3 linked regions of the Sus scrofa genome follow. The protein of the gene in region 1 purifies or fractionates together with the protein of each later gene. This does not show direct contact. Links are inferred from orthologs where the notes say so. Each region holds a gene or a part of one and is shown in the gene's direction. Other genes may lie near its edges.

The links.
Region 2: the proteins of DIS3L (region 1) and HBS1L purify together in Homo sapiens (affinity purification with mass spectrometry; 5 studies listed by BioGRID and IntAct, with this or other methods). This does not show direct contact. The link is inferred for Sus scrofa from reciprocal best matches to the Homo sapiens genes DIS3L and HBS1L.
Region 3: the proteins of DIS3L (region 1) and EIF4E2 purify together in Homo sapiens (affinity purification with mass spectrometry; 3 studies listed by BioGRID and IntAct, with this or other methods). This does not show direct contact. The link is inferred for Sus scrofa from reciprocal best matches to the Homo sapiens genes DIS3L and EIF4E2.

Annotation. Positions count from the first base shown.
Region 1 is NC_010443.5:164,307,971-164,313,495, forward strand, and holds the start of DIS3L (DIS3-like exonuclease 1), read left to right. Parts: upstream 1-2,149; 5' UTR 2,150-2,552; coding exon 2,553-2,691; intron 2,692-3,175; exon of another isoform or gene 3,176-3,826; intron 3,827-3,995; coding exon 3,996-4,149; intron 4,150-5,525. UniProt on the Homo sapiens protein: Catalytic component of the RNA exosome complex which has 3'->5' exoribonuclease activity and participates in a multitude of cellular RNA processing and degradation events.
Region 2 is NC_010443.5:29,041,349-29,046,165, forward strand, and holds part of HBS1L (HBS1-like protein), read left to right. Parts: intron 1-668; coding exon 669-759; intron 760-1,187; coding exon 1,188-1,296; intron 1,297-4,817. UniProt on the Homo sapiens protein: GTPase component of the Pelota-HBS1L complex, a complex that recognizes stalled ribosomes and triggers the No-Go Decay (NGD) pathway.
Region 3 is NC_010457.5:133,074,225-133,079,041, forward strand, and holds part of EIF4E2 (eukaryotic translation initiation factor 4E type 2), read left to right. Parts: intron 1-820; coding exon 821-925; intron 926-2,769; coding exon 2,770-2,922; intron 2,923-3,019; coding exon 3,020-3,156; intron 3,157-3,474; coding exon of another isoform or gene 3,475-3,541; exon of another isoform or gene 3,542-4,812; coding exon 4,813-4,817. UniProt on the Homo sapiens protein: Recognizes and binds the 7-methylguanosine-containing mRNA cap during an early step in the initiation. Acts as a repressor of translation initiation.

The DNA of each region.
Region 1 (5,525 bases):
TCTGGCGTAGGCCGGTGGTTACAGCTCCGATTCAACCCCTAGCCTGGGAACCTCCATATGCTGCGGGAGCGGCCCAAAAAATAGCAAAAAGACAAAAAAAAAAAAAAAAAAAAGAACTAAGGGAGCATGCTTTTAAGAGCATAATTTGTACACTATTGCTGCAATGCAAGCAAAAGAAGTGCTTGATGGGCCTTGGATTTATTTTAAATGCTGATAAAATCAACATTCAATAAAGCCTTAGACACACTCTCTTCCTTATAAGATCATCAGTCCCAGCTGAAAGTTTAAAGCTACGAAAGGCTAAAGAGAGAACTTAAAGGCATGTAATCAGAAGAGAAAAATGGAGTTCCTATTGTGGCTCAGCATGTTATGAACCTGACTAGTATCCATGAAGATGTGGGTTCAATCCCTGGCCTCCCTCAGTGGATTAAGGATCCAGCATTGCTGTGAGCTGTATTGTAGGTCACGGACGCAGCTCGGATCTCATGTGGTTGTGGCTGTGATGTAGGCTGGCAGCTGCAGCTCCGATTTGACCCCTAGCCTGGGAACTTCCACATGCCGCAGGTGCAGCCAAAAAATTCAAAAAAAGAAGAGAAATGAAAATGGGAGAGCTTCGGAGGAAATTGTGGGCAGCTGTCAGAAGCATTTTACATAGGGGGCAAATCCTATTTTCTGTCTTCTGGGATCACTAGAACTGACCTCTTGAATCAGGAACAGCTTCCTGCACAGAAGGTTGCCTTGTGAGCCCTCCTAGTGCTCTGGCCTGTGGACCAGCACTGTAATGTTCTCCTAACCTGTGCAATTCCATCTCGGATCTCACATCGTCCCACACTGCAGATAAATTGAGTAAAAATACAATGAGTAAAGGACCATGACTTTTTAATATGTTCCCCTAGAGAAGGTAATCAAACAGAATGCCCTGGTTCTGCTCACTTTAGCAATGCAGGAAGCTCCAATATATCCAGCCAGCTGGTTGAGCTGCCTTAACTAGAGCTCAACAAGTAGACCATCAACTCCTTAGATAAAAGAGCTATATTTCATTCATCTATGGATAGCATAGTAATTAGTGAAGAGCCTACTTTGGATTCAGCCAGATCCTGACTTGAATATTGATTCTACAAGTTAACAACTGGGTAATCTTGGCCACTTAACCTCTTCAATCCTGTTTCATCATCTGTAAAATGGGAATAATTATGCCCAACTCTACTGACTTGTGGCAGTTAAATGTGACGCTTCTTTGTAAAGCTTCTTGGAGCAGCTCAAAAGTGTCGAGAGCTTGGAGGTAGAGTGGACAACCAAGGGTGTGTGATCACAGAAAAGACTGTGTTAGTATCCAGCAAATTTAAAGGAGAAATCTTTTGCCAGAGGCTGCAAATGCTCTCATGTTGAGGTTGAATGGATAACGTTTACCTCAAGGGAAGGAGGGATTGATTTCCATTTTTATCTGCATTGTTTGAATTTTTATATAGATTAAAAATACATGAAATTTAAAATGAATACAGCTTTTTAAAGAGGAAAAAAATGTTTAGCTGGCAGGGTTCCTGGCTTATTTGCTCAGTCTTTTAGTTCTTCCAGGGATGGCAAGAGCAAGAACAGAAAACACAAATAATTATATTAATACAAAACACTAATAATTATCCGTATCAATAAGGCGGCCCTATTCCCATATGGACCAGAGGGTAGAATAATAGTTCTCTACAGTTGTACCAAACCTTCACAAGACTAAACTACTTCCATTTACAATGGGTTCCAACCTACCACAGTTCCACTTAAAATCTGTGTACTTTACCATGGTGTGAAAGTGACACCCACATGGAATTTTTATCTTTTCTGGGCTAGCCATATGCCACAGGACACTCCAGTGATGCTGAGCAGCCACTGAGTCCCAGCTCCCTGGACAGTCCGAGATCACGAGGGGTACAATCGATACACTTATAAACATTTCGTGTTTCACCTTCAGTACAGCATTCAATAATTACATAACATTCAACATTGTCATAAAATAGGCTTGTAGATGATTCTGCCCAACCGTAAGCCAAAGTAAGTGTTCTGAGCGGGTCTAAGGTAGGCTAAGCTTAAACCCAAGCTATGTTGGGTAGACTAAGGGTGTTAAATGAACTTTCGACTTGGGTTTATCAGGACGTAACGCCACCGTCAGTGGAGGAAGACCTGTATTAACTTTGTCTCCCTTAAGTCTTCTGCGTGGTTTCCGCCCCTCCCAGGCATTTCCACCCCAGTACGATTGTAGGGAGGGGAGAAACTGAGGCGGGGTTGAGGGAGCCTGCGGGCCCGGCTGGAGCACCCACCCCGCGGGCCTCCTGCTCTCAACCCGGGACGCGGGCCATTAGGGCGGTTTCCCTCCGGAGCCCAGAGGGCTCAGGCCGCCGCCAGTAAGGCCGGCCGGCTGGGAGCCCCGCGAAGAGGGGCCGAGGGGGCGGGCCCGAAGCCTCGGCCTCGCCTCCGCCCGCGCAGCGCTGCGCCCGCGGCTTCCCGGCCGCTCGTTCGGGGCGGCCTCCCGGAGCCCGGAGCTCTGCCCGGGGAGCGTCACCACCATGCTGCAGAAGCGAGAGAAGGTGCTGCTCCTGAAGACCTTCCAGGGCCGGACGCTGCGGATCGTGCGGGAGCATTACCTGCGGCCCAGCGTGCCCTGCAACAGCCCGCTCTGCCCTCAGCCCGCCTCCTGCCACAACGGTCAGGGCCCGGCGGGAGCGCGGGCGGTCGGGGCCGGGAGGGAGCTAGGGCGGCAGGACGGGTTCGGCAGAGCGTCGGCCTTGAGGCTCAAGGGCGCGGCCCAGAGGCGGAGCGCGGGGCCGCGGTGGCGCGGAGTCCGAGGCCCTCGGGCCTCCTCCCGCCTCCAGGCTTACCCCCGGGCCGGGCTGCGGGTCGGGCACGAGGGGCCGGAAGCTTCCGGTCTTTCCACACCGACTCCCGACTGTTCGGCCCCAGAAAATGGAAGGGCTGAGAGGCCAGCGCCCTCGCCGCGCAGAGGCCGGGGGTTGGGGCTTTCTGAGCCTGGGGGCGCTGGAGCCGGGCGGCTCTTGCTCCCCAGCTCGCGCTGGTGAAATGGGAAGGTCCCGGGCTGGGGGCCCCCAGCTGTGCGAGCCTGGTGGGGGGAGCTGACGCTGCCGCTGCTCATTGTATATTTCTTTGCTTTGCTCCCCACACATTTTCTGACCTGCCAGCACCGAGGCCTCAGAAGGTTATCCGGTGGAGAGCCCTCTTCACTGTAAGACTTGCGGCTCATCAGGGCCCGCGCACCGGAAGGTCACGAGGAAATTGGGTTGGGGTGGGCCTTCCACCACGCCTTCCTCCACATGATGTCTAGGCCGCGCAGGTGGCCAGTTTAATGGTGGAGGTTCCTGGTTCTCTTCCCTGAAGTGGGAGAGGAGCGTGGTCGTCCTTTTCAGCGAATATTTGGGATCCTTAGCTAATGGTTAAGGTGAACATTTCAATTACCACTTGGCTATCCACCTTGGACCCACGGGCTGGGTGGAAATCCCACCACTGTGCCTGCTTGCACTGAGCATCTTTTCTAGTCAATTCAATTTCTCTGGCTCTTGGAGACTTCTGAGCACCTTCACAAGATTGAGACAGACCCAGTTTGAAATGGCTGTGCCTAAACAGCGATTAACATGTATATTTGGGGAGCCCCACTTGAATGGGAGTGTAGGGCAGTGAGTTAACACAGAGATATATTCAGGTTATGCTGAAGATTTGCTTGCTTGCATGTGTGTTGTTTTTTTTTCAATCCGTCGTCTTCTACACCCCTGGCAACACCATAAACCACATTGAGCTTTTATTTATCACAGCTTCAGAAAAAATGAAGGTGCTGAATTTACCTGAATGTTTGGCCTCTACCCAGGTAGATTTGTCTTGTCTTGAAAACTTCACGGTGTAGTTAAGATTGGGAGTTGTTTTGCACACCTGGAGTGACATCCAAATAAACCAGGTTTGCGAACGTCGTCTAATCTCTCACATTTTGAATTATGCTTCAGATGGAAAACTCTTGTCTAGTGATGTGACTCATTACATGATCCCAGATTGGAAAGTTGTGCAAGATTATCTCGAGATCCTTGAATTTCCTGAATTGAAGGGAATTATTTTCATGCAAACTGCTTGTCAAGCTGTGCAACATCAAAGAGGCCGGAGGTATCTGTTATTTATTTATTTATTTATAGAGAGGATTTTTTTTCCCCTTTAGAAAAGGTCCCTTGGTGGCAGAGGAGGGGGGAATTCATTATTTTTGTCAGAAAGGACTTTTTGAACTAATTTGGCATTCTCTTTGCTAGTGAGGAATGCAGTAACATTATTTTATATTTCTGCTTCAACACCTGGCCAAAAGATGCGACTGTAGATCAATAAACTGCAGTGTCCCCAGGATGTGGGTATTTAAGATTCTTGGCTTTTGGTTTGCATTTTTAAAGTAGCAGAGCTATTGCTTATTTCTTGTTGGAAACGGGTGTTATTTAATCTTCTTATTTATAGATACATTATTTCAGAAGCTTACGTTTTATTCCTCCTGGGGGAAAAGAAAGTGTTCTTAAATTTTAGGCTCCCTTATTGTGGAGTTAAATTGTACTGGTGGTGATTTATTCAGTGAAACCAGAAATAACTTGTTTTTATTTTTAGATTACTAGTATAACCAGCAACCATAGAAACTGTGTTTGCTAAAAAAAAAGGATTTCTTATTGAAATCAGCCTAAAATGCTTGCCTTGTATCTAAATGAAGAACAGTTGTTCACCTTTTAAACATGAATACAGTAAAAAAATGGTTTTCCTTCTTTTAACATTGGGAAACGATTGATGATTTGCACTTGAAGACTGTAGGGAAATAGTGTATTAGAATTACACATCCAATCTCTTAACACCCAAGTTAAGCAAAAATTATGTGTTTATCCTTTTTTAAATGTTGTGGTTTCTTCAGATCTTGGTAGTAAAAGATGAAGTGTGTTTACTTGTGTATGAAAATGCTAAGTTGTCCTTATTTTATGCTGAGTTCATAAAAATATGCATTAACTAGGTTTTTCAGATAGAATATTTTTATATGAGCTTGAAGTTGATTTTGTTCAGACACAAAGATATAGACGTTTATATACACCCAGGTTTAAATGCTGCTCCAGGTGTCGTATTTCAATTTCTGCTACTAAAATCAATTTGTTGTTATTATTCAGGTGGCTAACATACTGCCAAGCATTTTCAATTTCTGTTTTCTAAAATATTTTTAATATTAAGGATTGTTTTAAAAACCAATTCCTGGGACATTCAGAAGTAAAGAATTGGAATTTAAATGTCTTTCTTCCTGAACATTTCAAAAGTTGTTAACTTGATGGAAAACTATTGGTTTTCCACTGCCTTACAGTGTCTGTGAATATGCTAAATGTGAAAACAAAGGCTGAGGTGTTATGGACCGGGCCCCACAGGATAACACCCTGGTTTTCCCATTTGGTGAGCACTTTTTGAGCTCCTACTTCCAGGCTTCCAGGAGTATAAAAAGAAGTCTCGGTCCCTCTCTCCACAAAACTGTT
Region 2 (4,817 bases), about 140 Mb from region 1:
GGCTTGCCGAGAACACCATCCAACTGAGTACTGATTTCCTGTGGGTAACTCGAAGAACACAGGCGATTGTTTAGGTAGTTGTCTGATTAAAGCAAAGCCTAAGAGATTAAAATACTACTGAATACCTTCCCCAATCCCCTCTTTTATGTTATTAAAAATAATTGGGGAATTCTCACTGTGGCACTGTAAGTTAGGATCCAGTGTTGCCCCAGCTGTGGTGTAGGTTGCAGCTGTGGCTCGGATTCGATCCCTGTCCAGGGAACCGCCCTGGCCAGGGAACTTCCCTGTGCCTCGGGTTGGGGGAGGAATTGGAACTCTATGTACTGTTATGCCTGCATCCATTAATGGAAGAGAAGTTTTAGAATGAGGCCTGTTCAATGAATATACCAGTTATGTAAGTGAGTTTAAAAAATCTTGATTAAGTCAAAATCATCCTTTTATGGACAAATGCAAGACACTTTATGTTTAGGGTGGTGGTCCAGAAGAGTCAAGTCTAGAGGAAGTGTGTTTTCCTCAACGCTCACAGCTAACACTTCTCACTCTCTGTCCATTCATATTGAAAATGATGAGTAGTGACTGATGAGGCACAAGTCAGCCAAACTCCCTTGGTTGTTATGGGTTGATATTGAGGTGTTTCACTGTATGCTTTGGTTCTTACTCATTTCCAGGAATCACTCTGCATGATGAACCTGTCGACTGGGCAGCAGCGGGCGATCATGTTAGTCTTACGTTGGTTGGGATGGATATCATCAAAATCAAGTGAGTGAGAAAATGAGTTTAAGCGACCATTGTTTTGGATAGAGAACCTCAAAACACGTAAAATTTGCAATTCACCAGCTCAAATGAAAGAATGAGTATTAATTCTGAATCTCATCTGGCCAAAAATAGGCACTTATGAAAGTATATGAATGATAAACAAAACCTAAAGTTGAAATTAATACACGTCAGTACCTGTACCTGAGACATGTTCTTTGAAGGAAAGCTGTAAGGTATAAAAGTGATATAAGGTTAATAATGGTGTAAAGCCATGCATTAACCCAGAAGGGAATGTTCAGGAAAAGTCCCTAATTTACGTGCTTGCTTTATCTTGTAAATGGCTTTAGAGATATTTCTATTGGATGTGTGTTTCATTCTCTCAAGTGCCTGCTCTCCCTTTTTTGTTTGTTTTTGTTTTGTTGTTGTTACAGTGTTGGCTGCATATTTTGTGGCCCCAAAGAACCCATTAAGGCTTGCACGCGTTTCAGAGCCCGAATCCTCATCTTTAATATTGAAATTCCTATCACTAAAGGATTTCCTGTAAGTTTTAAAACGTTTAATTGTTAACTGTTCTTATAAATTCAGTGTAACTTTATTCCACAATTAGTAACTCACTTTACAAGTGATGATGCTATTGTTACTTTTAACTAATGTTACTCTAATCCAGAAAAACAAGAAATTAGAATTTGAAAATCATTTTATTTTATTTTACTTTATTTTATTTTTTTTGTCTTTGTGCCTTTTCTAGGGCTGCTCCTGCGGCATATAGAGGTTCCCAGGCTAGGGGTCTAATCGGAGCTGCAGCCACCTATGCCAAAGCCACAGCAAGAGGGGATCCAAGCCGCATCTGCGGCCTACACCACAGCTCACGGCAACGCCGGATCCTTAACCCACTGAGCAAGGCCAGGGATCGAACCCACAGCCTCGAACCCACAACCTCATGGTTCCTAGTCAGATTCGTTAACCACTGCACCACGACAGGAACTCCTTATTTTGTTTTTTTATTTTGATGCTTAAGTCTGGGAACTTTTTCAAAGAGACATTGGGAAGAAATTTCATCATCAATAAGATACAAATTGATTATAATAATAAAATTAATTTAGGGAAGGGGTGGATTCTCTTTTGATGTGTTCTAAAGGTTACTTCTTAGATTGGGTCTTTCTGATTTTGTTTTGTTTTAATATGCTTATTTATAGTTTTTCTGATTATAAAAGTAGTGTATTATTATAGAAAATTTTAGAAAACACACAAAAATAAAGATATAATAGGAATGTTCTATAATCATATGACCTATAAATATCCATTCTTTACATTTCAGAGTATTTTTTTGTGTGCATTGTATCCACCTGTTGATATTTATGAGTATGTTCTGGGGATGCTTGACATAAGGTGAACTTCAGTTGTGCTGAAGCAACACATTTAGACCCTGCCTACTGTGAGATTGGTTTGCAGGTTATCATTGACTAACACCACCTGAACATAACACATTTATGGGAAAGGGGGGATTTTATGCTATAATGTTACCTATCCAAAAAGGATACTACTAGTGAATAGCATACGTTCTTTGTTTTATGTGTAATGTTTTTCAGCTCTTTGGGGCCATACTCTGTTTATAGTTTGGTATCTTACTCTTGTCATTTAACAAATGGGCATTTTTTACATTTATACTTACTTTCTTTTCTTGATCAGCTTATATAGTACAGTCTCTTCAGGACAATGAAAAGTATTTCCTGGTGGCATTAAATGGCTTGCCTTTGAAAATATAAACAGATCATTTTCACCATTTGATGCAGCTTTGAAATCAAAGTAAAGCAGTAATAGTAATTGACCTTTAAAGTGTATTTAAATTAGTGATAGTATTTTAAAGGTTGGGAATATATTTATTTAGCTCATTTAAATTTACTTTACGCTTTTGCACCTTTGAGATAACCATGTGCTTTGCTTGTAATCCTTTGTAATTATTTCTATGTAAAATTTGATCCTATAAAATTATACTTGTAAGATATTGTATTTTAGTTTTATAATTATATTCCATTTTTCCCATACGCTAAAGGCTTCTCTCCAAAAAATTGTTATGGTTGAAAATACATTTTTAATATTCAAAAGTCATGTGTCAATAGGCAAGAAATTGCTATGAATGAGTGGCACTCATTCTTAGAAAGCAGTGTGTCCAATGGGGAGAAGCTGGAGAGGTTGATTACTGCGTGTTTTTACTCATGCAGCAATAATTTTTGCCAATGGAGAGGTAGAGAGGTCAGGAGGTTAGTAGTTATTTTGAATAGTAATACTGTCTTCCTGTGTACTGTAGTTTCTTTTATGAATTAAAAGTTTTTTGTGCGCTTTATGAGACTCCACCTGTGTATATTGATTCGTGAATACCAGGGTGAGATTTTTTTTAGAAAAAAAATGGTCACGTTTTGTCATTTAGTCCATTCCCCGTGGGAAGAAACTTTCACAGTTTTTAAATTTAACCAAGAAGAGGCTTTGTAAGCAATTAAAATTTCACTATTTAAGACATAGATATTTTTGTTTCCATTAGTTTATATGGTAAAAACTCTATATATTTAAGAGGAAGAAAATAGAAGAATGGATTAGACTTTAAATTCGTGTTTTGATTTTGATTTTTTATTGTGATAAAATATAACATTTACCATTTTAACCATTTTTAGGTGTACAGTTCTTTAGCATTAAGTACATTCACCTTGTTGTGCAAGTATCCATACCATCTACCTCCAGAACTTTTTCCTTATCCCAAACTCTGTACTCATTAAACAAGAACTCCTCCTAATGACCTTGCCCTCTATCCTCTAGTAAACACAATTCTTCTTTGTTTCTTTATGAATTTGCCTATTCTGCATCCCTCATGTAAGTGGAATCATGCAATGTTTGTCCTTTGTGTCAGACTTGTTTCACTTAGCATGATGTTTTTGAGGTTCATCTATGTTGTAGCATGTGTCAGAATTTCATTTCTTTTTAAGGCCGAATAATATTCCATTGTAAGTATATGTCACATTTTATTCATCCATTCATTTATTTAGCATCTGTTGGATGTTTGGTTTGTTTCCATCTTTTGGCAATTGTGAATGATGCTTCTGTGAACCTTGGTCCACAAATTTCCTTTTGAGCCCCTCCCTTCAATTCTTTTGGGTATATATCTAGAGGTGGAATTGCTTAATCATATGGTAATCTATGTTTAACTTTCGAGGAACCATTAAACTATAATAGCTGTGCCATTTTTAGATTTCCACCAGCAGTACACAAGTGTTCTAATTTCTCCTCTTCCTCATCAACACTTGTTTTCCTTTTGTGTGTGTGGGGGGGGAGTATGATTTTTTTGTTTGTTCATAATAGGCAAATTAATGGGTGTGAAGGAGTCTGTCATCCTGGTTTTGATTTGCATTTCCCTGATAGCTAGTGAGGTTGAGCATCTTTTCATTTCTTTATATATTTGGGGTTTTAATTCCTTATCAGTATATGATTTAGAAATATTTTCTTCCATTCTGTGAGTTGTCTTTTTATTCTTAAGTTTTAATTTTGATGAAGTCCAGTTTATCTACTTTTTTCTTTTGTTGCCTTTACTTTTGGTGTCGTACCCAAGAAGTCACTGTCAGATTCAAATTAACATTTCCTCCTCTCTTTTCTTAAAACTAAGAGTTTCGTACGTTTAGTCCATTTGTTTAAAAGTCTTTGGTCCATTTGGAGTTAATTTTTTTATTTATATGTTGTTAGGTAAGGCCTCATCTTCATTGCTTTGCATTTGGATATCCAGCTTCGCAGCACCGTTTGTTGAAAGGACTGCCTTTTCCTATTGAGTGGTCTGGGCACCCTTGTTGCCACTTAGCCTTTCTGATATTAATTTCCTTACATACAAAACATGAAAAAAAACATGAACAAAAATAGCTAATATATGAAGTAATCATTTAACTTCGTGTTTACCATGAACTAGGCACCACTTTAAAATAATACCTGGTTTTCCTCATTTAGTGACAAGAGACCCGAGGCTGGAGATATTGGGAAGGAATGGGTTGTTGCAGGATTTGCCCCAGATCACACAACTAGAA
Region 3 (4,817 bases), on another chromosome or scaffold:
TGATTAATCAAACTTGCAATTGTAAAGAAGTCGTGGGCAGGTAATGTGCACAGTGTGACTGGTTGACGAACACAGTTAATACTGGCGGGGGGGGGGGGGGCCTTGGGTTTTTTTGTAGGGTTGGTTTGTTTGTTTTTTTCGTTTGTTTTTTGCTTTTTAGGACCGCTCCTGTGGCCTGTGGAAGTTCCCAGGCTAGGGGTCTAATTGGAGCTGCAACTGCCAGCCTACACCACAGCCATGCCAGATCCAGGCCACATCTGCCACCTGCACCACAGCTCACAGCAACGCCATTCTTTAACCCACCGAATGAGGCCAGGGATCGAACCCACAGCCTCATAGATACTAGTCGGATTCATTTCCCCTGAGCCACAATTGGAACTTCTGTCGCCCCCCCCCCCTTTTTTTTGAAGTGATTTGGTTCTTTAACAAAAATACATTCAGGCTGAGGTTCTGTGGCCCTTAATTTACCTCAAGACGAAATAGTTTTTATTGTGTCAAACAAGGTCCTCTTACAGCGAGCGATGACTCTCCTGCGGCCTCTGCAGGAGGCACATGTGGACCTTCACCAACTACGGCTCCTCTCTGAGGCTGGCATTTCTCACCTAAAGAGTTTACTGTTGTATCAGCAATACTGCGTTATTCTTTTATGTACGTCTGCCTTTATCTAATACACCTCCCTTCTCACATGAGCCCCTGAATGAAATCTATCCTACAGAAAGTAGAGCCTCTAGCAGTGTCTTCCGTGTTTATGCTCTTCTCTTAAATATGCCTCAACATTCAAGGAAGAAACATCTTTTTTACTCTGCTGTCTTCTCTGCAGGTGGAGCAGTTCTGGAGGTTTTATAGCCACATGGTACGTCCCGGGGACCTGACAGGCCACAGTGACTTCCATCTCTTCAAAGAAGGAATTAAACCCATGTGGGAGGTGAGGACTGAAAGCCTCAGACTGCCTTTCTCAGCGGGTTTTGTGGTGGTGGTGATGATGTTTGGGGTTTTTTGTTTTTTCCCTTTTTTCAGTCATGTCAAGGTTAAACGTATTTTAAAGGAGTTCCCATTATGGCGCAGCGGAAACGAATCCAACTAGGAACCATGAGGTTGCAGGTTCGATCCCTGGCCTCACTCAGTGGGTTAGGGATCTGGTGTTGCCCTGAGCTGTGGTGTGGGTCGCCGACACAGTTTGGATCCCCCGTGGCTGTGGCTGTGGTGTAGGCAGGCAACTGTAGCTCTGATTTGACCCCCTAGCCTGGAAACCTCCGTATGCTGCGGGTATGGTCCCAAAGAGAAAAGAAAAGGGAAAAAAAAAAAAGGTATTTTAAAGTCTTCTAAAAGCTATATCACTATTTGGTATATCTTGGAACCAGGACCTCTAGGAAATGGCACTGATGCCCTTGTTTGTCTGTGTGGATGGTTTTCAAAGACTGTTTTAGTACTAAAATGGTATTATTAACGACATTAAAGGGCTTTTTTAAAAAAATCACTCTCTTCACATAGAACTGGGTGTGTGCGTATCATCATAGTATACAAACGATTAAAGTGAGGAAAAAGTGAGCCTACAGGCAGTAACTGGAGACCCAGAGCTGAACTCTGTGACCCGTTTGCTCATCCGTCGTCTCTATTCCGGTGGCAGAGCCTTTTTGTAGAAGACAGACGTGGTCACCCCCCCCAGTTGCAGCTCTTCCGAGCTCTCCGTAGCACACCTGGTCACGCACCTCGTTTACCTGTCAGGACCCCTTGCCCGTCTTCTCTAAATCCTCCCTCCGGGGTGGCAGCTCCCTGTCTCACAGGCAGAGTTGGCACGAAGTCGTGTCTCAAGTGCCTGCAGGGGGCTTCGCCGGCACTGCCCGGCTAATTCCCGTGCGCCTCAAGACCCAGCTCCAGAGGTTTCTTCCTCCCGGCTGTTAGCGACTGTCTCGTTCATCTTGAACCCGCTGTGCGTGTCTGTCTCGCAGCGGTGCTTGTCACACTGTGCTGCTGTCATTCATTCTCTCGTCTGGCTCCCTCACTGGACTGGGTCCGGGTAGAGACTGTGGCTTCATGTCTGTGTGTTTGGGACATGGTGACACTTGATAAACTTTTAGCAAATGAAGTGAGGAATGATCTGTGTTTAAAATCTGGCATCATTTCATTTTGATGTGGTTCTGAAAAAAGATTATTTTTAAAGAGTCTGTTTGACCATTATTTTGTTAACGGTTTGGACTTTTTTTTTTTTTTTTTCCCATTTCTTCTCTCCATGCTCCTACCACCGCTTTTCCTGTAGAGTTGAGTAATTGGAAAGTGCTAAGACTTCTTAGTGACCAAAGCATCCTTGGCCAAAAAAAAAAAAAAAAAAGGCTGTGAAACCATATTTTCTTTTTTTTTTTTTTAATTTTTATTTTTTGGCCGTACTTATGGTTCCTGGGCCTGGAATTGAGTCCGAGCCACAGCTACAACCTACACAGCAGCTGTAGCAACCCGAGCCACTGCAGTTGGCTTCTTTTTTTTTTTTTTTTGTCTTTTCTTGGGCTGCTCCCGCGGCATATGGAGGTTCCCAGGCTAGGGGTCCAATCGGAGCTGTAGCCACCGGCCTACATCAGAGCCACAGCAACACAAGATCCGAGCATCGTCTGCAACCTACACGACAGCTCACAGCAACGCCGGATCGTTAACCCACTGAGCAAGGGCAGGGACCGAACCCGCAACCTCATGGTTCCTAGTCGGATTCGCCAACCACTGCGCCACGACGGGAATTCTGTGAAACCATGTTTTACCTCTGATGCTTTCTTTTTACAGGACGATGCAAATAAAAACGGTGGCAAGTGGATCATTCGGCTGCGGAAGGGCTTGGCGTCCCGTTGCTGGGAGAACCTCATCCTGGCCATGCTGGGGGAACAGTTCATGGTTGGGGAGGAGATCTGTGGGGCCGTGGTCTCGGTCCGGTTTCAGGTAAGCCGCCCCTCGGGCCGGGCTGCTCTCGGGTGTTGCCGTTGCCGTTCTCACGGCCCCGCTTGGTTTGGTGACGCCTCTGTTGCTGCCCCTCTAGGAGGACATTATTTCCATTTGGAACAAGACTGCCAGCGACCAGGCCACCACAGCCCGCATCCGGGACACCCTGCGGCGCGTGCTTAACCTACCTCCCAACACCATTATGGAGTACAAAACCCATACCGACAGCATCAAGTACGTGTCGTGCGGGCTCGGGGGGGCCTTTCCCTAAGTTTAGCAGAAGTAGGTCCTCAGTTGGGCCCAGAGGAACGGGGTCGTGCGGGAAAACTGACTTAAGGAGGCGGGACAGACCAGTCTTCCCCTCTAGTACTTCTGGCCACCCTAGCAGTTCTTGGCTGGCGAGGTTCCCTGCCCACCTACACTGCGGGAGCCCCTCTGCAGCTCCCCGTTGCTCTGCCTGGGCTGGCTTTATTCACACAGGCTGGCGTGCCTCTCATTCACTAACCACTGTCTTAAAGTGAAAGCGCTCTTCTTTTCCTTGCTGATTTTCAGGGTAATTCCACTGAACACTACATCCTCCCCTGTCTGCCCCTCAGCCCGCTTTTGCATGCCTTTGTGACCTGTCAGCCTCAGTCGTTACCTTTGTCCTGGGAAATTGACTTCTCAGCAGAAATGCTGGCTCCATTTCCTTGCGTCTAGAGCTGGGATGGTAGAGGAAGCCGAACAGCGTGCTTGTGAGAGCAGAACCTAAGGGGAGCCCGCATGCTGAGGGGGAGCAGGCGCTGCGGTCCACCTGCGACTCGGGGACGTGGAGCTGGACGTCCACAAACAGGAGTCACTGGCCTTCAGTGACCGAATGTCATAGACAAATTCGGGTTATCATGAAGACGCTGGGGGCAGTGAGGGTTAGGGTTTTCTCACAGCTGGAGGGAGAGCTGGCCAGCTAAGAGTCAGGAGCGGGAGGTTAGTTCTCTCCTTTGTGTGCCTTTGGCAAGTCTCTGCCCCTCTGCTTCAGTTCCCCACCTGTGAGGTGGGAGAGGGTCATGCTTGGCCGGACAGGGTTTTTGTGAGGCTGATGTAGTCTTGGTAATTGGAGGTCCTCGAGGGTGCGCTCAGGAGCCTCGCATTCCCGTTGCTCTCATCGTCATCCTTAGCAACGAGCTCATCGTCATGCCGGCTTATTAACCGCATTCCTAGTCAGGAGCCCAGCGATGGTGTTCGGCAGGCAGACCATTTGGGAAGTGTTCCCCTTGCATTTACAGCTAAGGTCGGGGGTGGAGCTGGCTTAAACCAGCTAAGTGCCAGTTTTTAACTGGCAGTGCCTCCACTGGAGGTGCTTCGTATCCCATGGCTGTGTGCGGCTCGTTGAGCCACCTGCAGTGAGTAGCCAGCCCTGGCCCTGGTGGCCTTGGCAGTCCTGGGTCCACATCGTTTTTCGCAAGGCAGATTTTTCCTATTCTTTGTTCTGGAGTACAAGCAGCTTCTGCCCTCCAGCCATATTCAGTCCAGGCTGGAGAGATGCACACCTGCTTTTTCTAGGACTCTTATGTTCAGGGTTCCCAAACGCCCCTCCCACCCCGTCCACCCAGATAGCAGAGGGAAAGGGGTATTTTTCCACTCTCCCCTCTCCACTGTTCTCCCTCTCTGATGCCCTGAAGCCATTCTTCCTGACTTTTCTGGAAATGAGCACAAGTCCTTACAGAGTCTAGGAGAACCTGTGGGCCTTTGCCTTAGTCTGCTGCTCGCTGCTATCTGCAGAGGTCTGCCTAGTCCTCCAGCCCTGCAGCTCCAGGGACCAGAAAACCCTCCTTGATACCCAGATGCTCCTTTTCCCTCGCGTCTCCCTCTCTTTCTCTCCCAATGTGCCAATCTTTTGCACTTCCACACTAGAATGC